Mus musculus: one gene and its partner. The protein of the gene in region 1 binds, or shares a complex with, the protein of each later gene. Links are inferred from orthologs where the notes say so. Each region holds a gene or a part of one and is shown on either strand. Other genes may lie near its edges.

Region 1 (4,407 bases):
TTGCTCTCATTTCTAAAGTACACAAGTAAAATAGGAAATTTGTCAAGGTCTAGATTTATAATACATGTAATAGAAAATACAATGTTGTGTAACAGCAAGACTATTGATACAAAAATTGTGCTCTGCTTTTTAGTGTGACAACATTTTGGTTATAATAGCTACTCAAAGATCTTAATGTTCAGAGGAGAGAATAGTTCATCAAGAGCTAGGGTGTGTTTTACATTTTAGATTAACTACCTTAATGTGAATTCTTTTAGCATGTTGCATTTGTTTAGAGAATATCTGTTCTCATTACATAAAGCCTATGTATGATGGAACATGCTACATTTCAGAGTAGTAAAATAAACAGGTTTCAGCAATCTGCAACTTTTAACAGGTCAAATACACCCAAGGTGGACTTGAAAACCTCGAGCTTTCAAGAAAGTATTTTGCACAGGCACTGAAACTCAACAACAGGAACATGAGAGCTCTGTTTGGGCTCTACATGGTGAGTTGATGTACGTGTTCAACGTCACTTGACGGAGTCTGTCATTTAAAATGCATTTAACTGTCCTTCCAATCTCTCCCTGCTTGCTTTTGTATTCTTTTGATGAGCATAGTTAATTATGACAAGATGGTAAAAAATGCTATAATTGTGAATTTTAGTACATTCTTGCCGTTTGACATTTCAATTGAGGCATATTTGACTTATCAGAACTAAACAGTATTAAATACTAAAGCATAATGTATATTGTCCATTTGTTTTGATGTTCTTGGGATTTGTGCCAATTTTTATTGTACTTATTTCCTAATATTTTAAGCTATGTCAATAAAAAGTATTAAAAATAAAATCAATAGTATATCAAATTTTAAATATTTTAATAAGTGTAAAAAAGCAGTTTGGAAATTATATGTGAGATTAAATAGTTATTATTTATGTATGCCTCATAAAGAGCTTAGAAAAATCAATTAACAAGACCTATGGGAAGAAGGACAATTTGCAGAGCTTTAGAATATTTCTAAAATGAGCACCTGGTTGCAATCAGAAACGCTAGGAAAATAAACTCTAATGGGTCCTTAAATCTTTGAAATTGTGGTATACCTGTTTGCTTATTTTTGAATATTTATCATTTGAGAATTTCAAACATGGATGTAATGTTCTGATAAAATTCACTTTCTACTTCCTTCTGCCTTTTGCTATGTTCCCCCCTTCCTCTCTCAAATTCATACACACTTTTTACAAGTATACTAATTAGTGCTGACAGTATTTCACTGGTCTTTTTTTTTTTTTTTTAATGGATTCTTTATGGATGTCTTCTTGTTGAAGCCAGTGAAAGAGAATTGTTTGAAAGTGCAGCAATAGGAAGAAACAAATGAGATGATTTTTAGGAAAGAAGTAAGGTTAAAATATGCCTCTGAAAAATGGGAAGGAAGTTTTCTTTGATTCTACCAGAAACAGTTCCAGTGGCTTGGGGATGTACTGCTGCTAACACTATCTAATAAGTCAAACAACCATCTTAGAAACTCCGTGGCAGTGATTACTAACAACCGCTTGCTTATACAGAGCATTGCTCTGAGTCTGAGATTTCATTTTAAATCAGTAGTTATTCACATCAGTCATTTAAATAAATTCTCCAGTTGCTACCTGAAGTTCACAAATGGTGCAACTGAGATACAAATATAATTAATTTCAAAGCTGACCGTAACGCTACTATATTTAACTGGGATCCCAGCCCCAGAAGTTGACTATTCAGTTTTTCAGCCATTGTATTTGCCTAAGTTCACACCAAACATGTAATAATATTTCATAAATGTATAGAAATTGCTATAAGAATACAGATACAGCAAAATTTTGTGACTATTCTGGTGTTTAGAGTATAACTGGAAAGCTCTTGGTATAGAGTAAAAGACAAGTCAGGTAGAGATAAATATCCTCTTTATCTCAGAGTTCAGTTAACTTGCTTTGTTCAAGTTAGATAATTCCTATCGGCCTGAATATGTTTTCACCTGGTCATATTGGAAGTTATGCTAAATTGTTTTTGAGATCTCTGTTAATATTTGATAATTAAATATTGGAATTTTGCTATTCTTCAGTGTCAAGAAATAGCAGTAACCTAAGCAAAGTCCTTTGTTATGTATAAAGTATCTTTCCCTAGTGATAGAGATTTTAGCTCTAAGGGCTGATGTAAATACATAAGTAATTACACTTAAAATACACTTTAAAAATATTCTTTGTCATGTTATTTTGGACTATGCTGCATTTTAACTTATATTTTAAGTTTAGAGTATTGATTTCATTCAATATTATTTTTATTTTAAAATTGTTTTTGCTTCAGTGTTAAAACTTGTTATCAACTCTCTACAGCTATGACTTTCATGTCTTTATTATCTTAACTAGAAAGAGTTTTACTTTTGATGTTTCTTTTTCTTGTTTTGATTTAGTCTGCAAGTCATATTGCTTCTAATCCAAAAGCAAGTGCAAAAATGAAAAAAGACAACATCAAATATGCTAGTTGGGCCGCTAATCAAATAAACAGGGCTTATCAGGTTAGTATTGGCAATTTTGCTATGTATATTACTGGATGTATTTCTTTGTCACTTTGATCCCTGTAAAGTACAAAGCTAAATGTCTATCACTGAAAGTTTTTTCTAATGCCTTAGGCTTTTAACAAATGTTATTTTTATGACCTTTCCCCAACAAAACAATCTATTAATTTTATGATATAATTAATCTCTTATTTGTAAATTTTCATTTCTTAAATAGAAAAGAATTATAAAACCCCGACGTTAAACTAGAAGATGCAGCTTAGAAGCACATTGGAATTGAGAATGCAATTTGATTAGATGTGCCTCAGAAATAAAGAGAAAGGCCTAATGGCCAACTAGGCAGACCTCACCCTAAAGCCTGCCCTGTCTGTGTGCACCGCAGAGCTTCCATCAAACCTCTGTTTGTTAGTGTTCAGGAGCTCCTCTCTAGGGGAAATTCTTTTTTTTTTCAGGGGACTTTGTTCATGGGAAATTTGTTCATGAGAAAAATACATGCTTGTATATTTTTGACAGCATTTATATTTATAAAATCCTTTGGCAGTTCATACATTGGTTATCATTTACTTACAGATTTTAACCATATTTCCCCAGTGGCTTTTCGATAGAATGTTGTCCAGAACCCTAATGCCACCCTGACTTTCACAAGTCACTTAGACTTTTACTTTGTTGTCCCAAAGAAGTTTTTCTTTAAGTCAGTATGTAACTTATTTTCTTGTTTTAGGGTCACTATGTCTAAATGCACAAAACAGTTGTTTCTAGGATTTAGTCCTGTTGAGAAAGATAGTCTTAGGAATTCAGTTTCTTTTCTCTTGTAAGATTCCAATTATAAATGCATTCCTTCACTGTTCTTGCCTCTTACTCTTTTTCTTTTTCTTTTTTTCTGTGATTCTGTCATTTTAACATAATAATAAGCTATGGTGTTTGTTCACTTTCTTTTTCTTTTTCCACATTGAGTTGGTAACTGTGTGGGATGGGCACTGGAGATGTGATAAGGTAGCTTTCCTGGCCTTACTGTGTCCTCCTCCCTTTGTTGCTGAGATCTCCGTTATAACCGCTGGGTGTCTGGTCTTTGTGCCAGTTAAGCCTGACTTGGTTTTCTTTTCTTTTCTTTCTTTCTTTCTTTCTTTCTTTCTTTCTTTCTTTCTTTCTTTCTTTCTTTCTTTCTTTCTTTCTTTTTTTTTTATTAGAAAAAAATTTATTTTATTTTTTTTATTAGATATTTTCTTCATTTATGTTTCAAATGCTATCCCCTTTCCTAGTTTTCTCTCCTTAAGTCCCCTATACCCTCCCCCCGCCCTGCTCCTTAACCCACCCACTCCTGCTTCCTGGCCCTTACATTCCTCTGTACTGGGGCATATAATCTTCACAAGGCCAAGGGCCTCTCCTCCCAATGATGGCCGACTAGGATTTTCTGATTCTGGTCTTCAGTTACACCTCACAGAGTTCTGTAGGCGTGGAGTCCTCTGAGCCTGTGGTGTCCACTCTGCTGTTAGCTCCTCCTCAGCTTCCTTAGATCATTTCTTCCTCCTGTTCCATGTTTCTGTCCTATGCAATTTGGTTTCGGATGTTAGTATTTTTCTTCATACTTTGAAGGATTTATGCTTCAAGAAACAGAAGTAATTGGCTGCTAGTTTGAGATCTTATATATAGTTCAATTTGTTTAATCATGTTTACATACAGTTTTCAAATGTGCCTGTAATTTGAAGGCTGGGAAGATACTTACCGAGGTTGTGTGTTTGTTTGTTTGTTTGTTTGTTTGTTTGTTTGTTTTGGGGTGTTTGTAGATTTCATCACTTCAGGTTTCCTTCTTTGCAGGATTAGTGTTTGTTCCTAACTTTTCAGCTTTGATTTAATATAAGGAGTGATCTACTCTCTTCTCCC
Region 2 (5,122 bases), on another chromosome or scaffold:
CCCACAAGATGACTAATAACTGACTGTAACTCCAGTTCCAGGGGATCTGGACACCCTCTTCTGACCTCTGCAAACACTAGATATGCACATGTGATGTACAGGCATACATGTAAGCAAAACACTCATCACATAAAAAACAAAAAAGCCAGGCAGTGGTGGTGGCGGCGTACGCCTGTAATCCCAGCACTTAGGAGGCAGAGGCAGGCGGATTTCTGAGTTCGAGGCCAGCCTGGTCTACAAAGTGAGTTCCAGGACAGCCAGGACTGCACAGAGAAACCCTGTCTCGAAAAACCTAAATAAATAAATAAAATAAAATAAAATAAAAATTAAGTGGTTGCAGGAAGTCGAGGAGGGAGGGACTGGAGGTCCATTGTGTTTTTCACAGATCCTTCTAAAGAACAGGGCAGAGCAGGCCACGGTACTGCACACCTTTATTCTCAGTGCTCAGAGGCAAAAGCAGAGGTAAGGGGTTCTCGGTGTTCAGGGCTACCCTGGTTTACATAGCAAGTTGGGGGCTAACCAGGGCTCTTAAAAAAAAAAAAAAAAAAACAGGGTAGAAGACTGCAGCCATGCAGGTAACCCATATTTTACATATTTGAATATGCCAAGGGTATTTTAATCTGATCTCACGAGGACTTCCTAGTAGAGGTTTTGGATCCCTTGTGGGAGGAGTCAGGCTTTGTGGCTGTGGTATGGGAATGAAGAAGGAACAGTTGGGGAGCTGAGAGCAAGCTTGAGGGGAAATGTGGTTACCCTGAGATGTCTCAGTGCTGGCAGAGAGGAAAGATCTTTAAAAGGCATCAAACTAGAGCATATCACCATCTACTGGACAGTACTGGGGGTGGAATTGACCTTTTATCTCTTGCCCACTCCCCCAGTTGGTTTCTGTCTTTACATTTGTTGGGATTTCCATTTTATATTTAATCTGTGTGTATATGTCTGTGAGCGAATGCCACATGTATGCCACCAGATCCCCTGAAGCTGAGTTCACTACTGATTGTGAACCACCTGATAAGGCGCTGGTAACAGAAATTGGGTCTTGACTGCTGAGTCATCTCTGAGCCTTTTTTTTTTTTGACAAGGTCTTCCATAGCCTGGGCTGGCCTTAAACTATGTAACTGAGGCTAACTTTGAACTCTAGATCCTCTTGCCTCTACCTCAGTAGTGGGATTGATTGCAAGTTTAGGATTCACTTCTGAGAAGGTGGTGGAGACAATGGGCCTCTGCTATGTGGCCTGTTAGATGTTCCAAGGGGCTTTTGAAGTAAGGCTCTTACCCTGTTTTAAAATATGGCATAAGAATATTTTGTGTTCTTATCAGTTTGGCGGATTGGAATTCAGTGCTCATATTTAGTCCCTAAAGGGACTTGAACTTTGCATTAAAGACGTTGCACCACAATGAGGAAGCCAAAGGTCAGGGCTTGCAGTTGGGAAGATTAGGCTCCTTATCTATGGTGCAGGGACAAGGTGACAGTGTTGTCACCATTCCCAGCTAGGAGTGAGTACTTCACCTAGCAGTCTTTGCCCGAAGCCCGTAGGGGCAGGCAGAGCAGGTAAACAGGCGAAGCCAACTTGCAATAACCCGCCAAGTCAGAACTGGGTGTGGTGGCACAGGGTCTAGGGCTTTCAACTTCAGAGACAGAGGCAGAAACCTCGGTGAGTTTGAGACCTGCCTGGGCTGAGACTTTGTGGTATCCTCCTTCCCTCAAACAGAACAAAGCAAAACCCAAAACATAAACTAGGTTATTTAGCTAATATGTCTGTGGGCAATTTTCTTTCCTTTGCCCTAGTGCGTTCTTTCCAATTTGCTCCAGGCCAAAATCAAGACTATTTTTTTTAAATTTTGGATTGGGCAAAATAATAATGTCACACCCTATCAGAGAGTACTGCGGAGGCGGGACTCTTGGTTAGGGTATGACCCTGAGCTGGCCTGGGAGCAAGTGCGCCTGCCCGGGAGTGGCTAGAGAGGGGAGTGATTAGAGGGGGTGGAGCTCGGTGCCTCCCGTTGCAGTTGGACCGAATTCTACCTTGCTAGGGACGGGCTGCAGAGAGTGGTCGCCAGGCGTCAGGGGCATCTTACACCCAAGTGAGAAGGGAGGCACAGGGCGAGGCCAAGCTCGCCTCTGGTGGTCAGGGAGCCGCCTTAGTGGGGGTTCGGGTGCCGGCAGGCCCCGCTCGCTATGGGGGAGGTGGAGATCTCCGCCCGAGCCTACGGGAAGATGTGTCTGCACGCCTCTCGGTACCCACACGCTGCTGTCAACGGGTTGTTGCTGGCTCCCGCGACGGGGTCCGGAGAATGCCTCTGCCTCACCGACTGTGTGCCCCTCTTCCACAGCCATCTGGCCTTGTCCGTCATGCTGGAGGTCGCGCTCAACCAGGTTGCGACATTGAGAACCCCACCCCTTGTCCCTCTTCACCCCACCGACCCCTTTAGGACCCTCAGCCTAAATGCATGCGCAGTCCGTTGACCGTGGTGTGCACTGATAAGAGCCAGAGGCATGATTTAGTTACTGACGGCCCCTTTCTCACGACAGGTGGATGTGTGGGGCGCGCAGGCCGGTCTGGTGGTAGCTGGGTACTACCATGCCAATGCGGTTTTGGATGACCAGAGGTGAGTTGGGAAGCTAGGGGTGGGAAGAGAGATAATTGTGGCAATTGTGGGTGAGGTACAGATGGACCAAAGTCGTTCCTTTTACCTTTATTTTTTTTTTTAATCAAGTGTTGGCAGCAGGGCTGTATGCCAGATATTACTGAGTACAGGAGTGAGGAGGTATCAGAGATCAATATGACAGAATCCTGCCCTGAAGGAGCTGCAGTGGGGGAGGGACAGACAGACTGAGGTGTCTGTAAGAACTGAGGAAGTGCGACCAGTAACTTAAAAGCGACTTTAAAAAGTATATGTTATATAAATATACTCTACAGACCAAATGCATTTGCTATGGGTTAATTAAGTTCGATCTATTGTCATTTGCTTCCCTCTCTGCACTCAGTACATTCGATGTCTTTCCATCTCGGGATCCACCTCACCCTAACAGCTGTACAGTATGAATATGAACAAACTGTAACTTAGTTACTGCAGTGAACATTGAAGTTATCTCAGTTTTTAAATGCAGAGGTCTTATTACAGTAAAAAAAATTTTTTTTAATTATATTATTTGTTTTTTGAGACAGGGATTCTCTGTGTAGCTCTGGTTGTCCCAGAACTCGATCTGGAGACCAAGCTGGACTTGAACTCATATCGTCTGCCTTTGTCTCCTGAGTGCTGCGACTACAGTTGTGTTCCACCATGCCCAGCTAAAAATATATTTTTTAATAGCAGGAAGAAGAAAAAAATATATTTAATATGAGCATGCTAGAATGAGGGACAAAGAGATCTGTTAAAACACTGTTATTCCCCAAGCCTGTCTCCTGGGTGAGTGAAGTTTAAATAAAGGGACAAGGATATCCATATCTAAGCAGTCAGAAGCAAGGCGTGGTCGTGCCTACCACTGACCCCTTTGTATTTTAAGTCATCTGTGACAAGCTGTGTAAACCTCTTGAAGCTGTACATACACAATGAAACAGATGCTGGGAGGGCCTCTGAAGGCCCGCCATTATACCTGGATGCCAAGCCCTGCCATGTAGGTCTGGGTCTGTTTTGACCACAGTGGCCAGATGACATGGGAGAATTGGGGTTCCCTTTTGGGGATTCTTAGTCTTATTAATAAAAGAATTTTAAACTCAATGGCAGGAGCTGGAGAGATGGCTCAGCAGTTAAAAGCACTGGCTGCTCTTCCAGAGGACCTGGGATCAATTCCCAGCACCCACATGACAACTTACAACTGTCTGTAACTCCTGCTCCAGGGATCCAACACCTTCATTCAGACATACATGCAGACAAAACACCAATGCACATAAAATAAAAATAAATTATATTTAAAAATATGTTAAAAAAAACCGCTCAAGGATGGTTTAATTAGAGTTGAAAAGAAAGGCAAGACTCAGAGGAAACAAGCTGTGCTTTCCAGAGAAGAGAGGAAAGAAGGGAAAGAACCATGCCCTATAAACGAGCACAGAGGACAGACTGATCGCAGACAAGCCCAGCACGGAAGTCAGACTCATCCCAGACAAGCAGCCCAGCTTTAGAGAAAGAGTAAGGAAGCACAAAGGATCAGAAAAATCACACTTAGGTTCTGGGCAGCATCTGAAAAGTAACAGGGAAAAAAAAAGTTTTGCCTTTCTGACTCAGGCCTCAGAAAGTTGGGCAGATGCAGCCACACCTCATGGTGGCTCCCAGAGATGGCAGAAACGACTTCAAGTTAGCATTTAAAGTAACTGGTTCCACTGGGGCATGTTCATACATACATACATACTTCTTCTTCTTCTTCTTCTTCTTCTTCTTCTTCTTCTTCTTCTTCTTCTTCTTCTTCTCCTCCTCCTCCTCCTCCTCCTCCCCCCCTCCCCTCCTCCTCCTCCTCTTCCTCCTCCTCCTCCTCCTCCTCCTCCTCCTCCTCCTCCTCCTCCTCCTTTTGGTTTTTGAAGACAGTTTCTCTGTGTACCCTTGGCTGTCCTAGAACTCACTCAGGCTGGCCTCGAACCCAGAGATCCATCTGCCTCTGCCTCCTGAGTTGCAGGATTAAAGGCATGTGCCACCACTGCCCAGCTTCATACTTTATTCTTAATTGTCCCTCCCCATGGAGCTCCCACTGTTCTGCCCCACTTTTGCTGGTCCCTAACTTCCTATCCAGTAAATTCTTTATAGTTTTTTTTGAAAATTTTTTATTATATTTATGTTTTGCCTGTATTATTTGTATACCATGCAGTGCCCCTGGAGGCCAGAAGAGGGCGTTGGGTTCCCCTGGGCCTGGCTATCAGTTGCCATGTGAGTGTAAATTCAAACCCAGGTCCTCTGGAGGAAAAGTAGTTAGTACTGAGCCATTGCTCCAGCCCTGTTCCTTTTTAAATTTGGATGATGAAGGCAAATTACCTTACCCAACGCCTACTTTAGATTTCATCTCTCAGCAGCAGTATCTGAGACCTGTTTCCCACAGCATTGAAGCATCCAGCAATCATGAATCAAGCATTACGCATACCGGACACTCCCAGGCTAGGGGCCGGGAGCACTCGGGAGACCTGGGTCTGCC

Evidence for each region.
Region 2: Emc2 (region 1) and Emc9 share a complex: the UniProt entries of both Homo sapiens proteins name them as parts of the ER membrane protein complex. The link is inferred for Mus musculus from reciprocal best matches to the Homo sapiens genes EMC2 and EMC9.

What each region holds. Positions count from the first base shown.
Region 1 is NC_000081.6:43,511,324-43,515,730, forward strand, and holds part of Emc2 (ER membrane protein complex subunit 2), read left to right. Parts: intron 1-376; coding exon 377-487; intron 488-2,421; coding exon 2,422-2,526; intron 2,527-4,407. UniProt on the Homo sapiens protein: Part of the endoplasmic reticulum membrane protein complex (EMC) that enables the energy-independent insertion into endoplasmic reticulum membranes of newly synthesized membrane proteins.
Region 2 is NC_000080.6:55,582,167-55,587,288, reverse strand, and holds the start of Emc9 (ER membrane protein complex subunit 9), read left to right. Parts: upstream 1-2,034; 5' UTR 2,035-2,179; coding exon 2,180-2,377; intron 2,378-2,533; coding exon 2,534-2,610; intron 2,611-5,029; exon of another isoform or gene 5,030-5,122. UniProt on the Homo sapiens protein: Part of the endoplasmic reticulum membrane protein complex (EMC) that enables the energy-independent insertion into endoplasmic reticulum membranes of newly synthesized membrane proteins.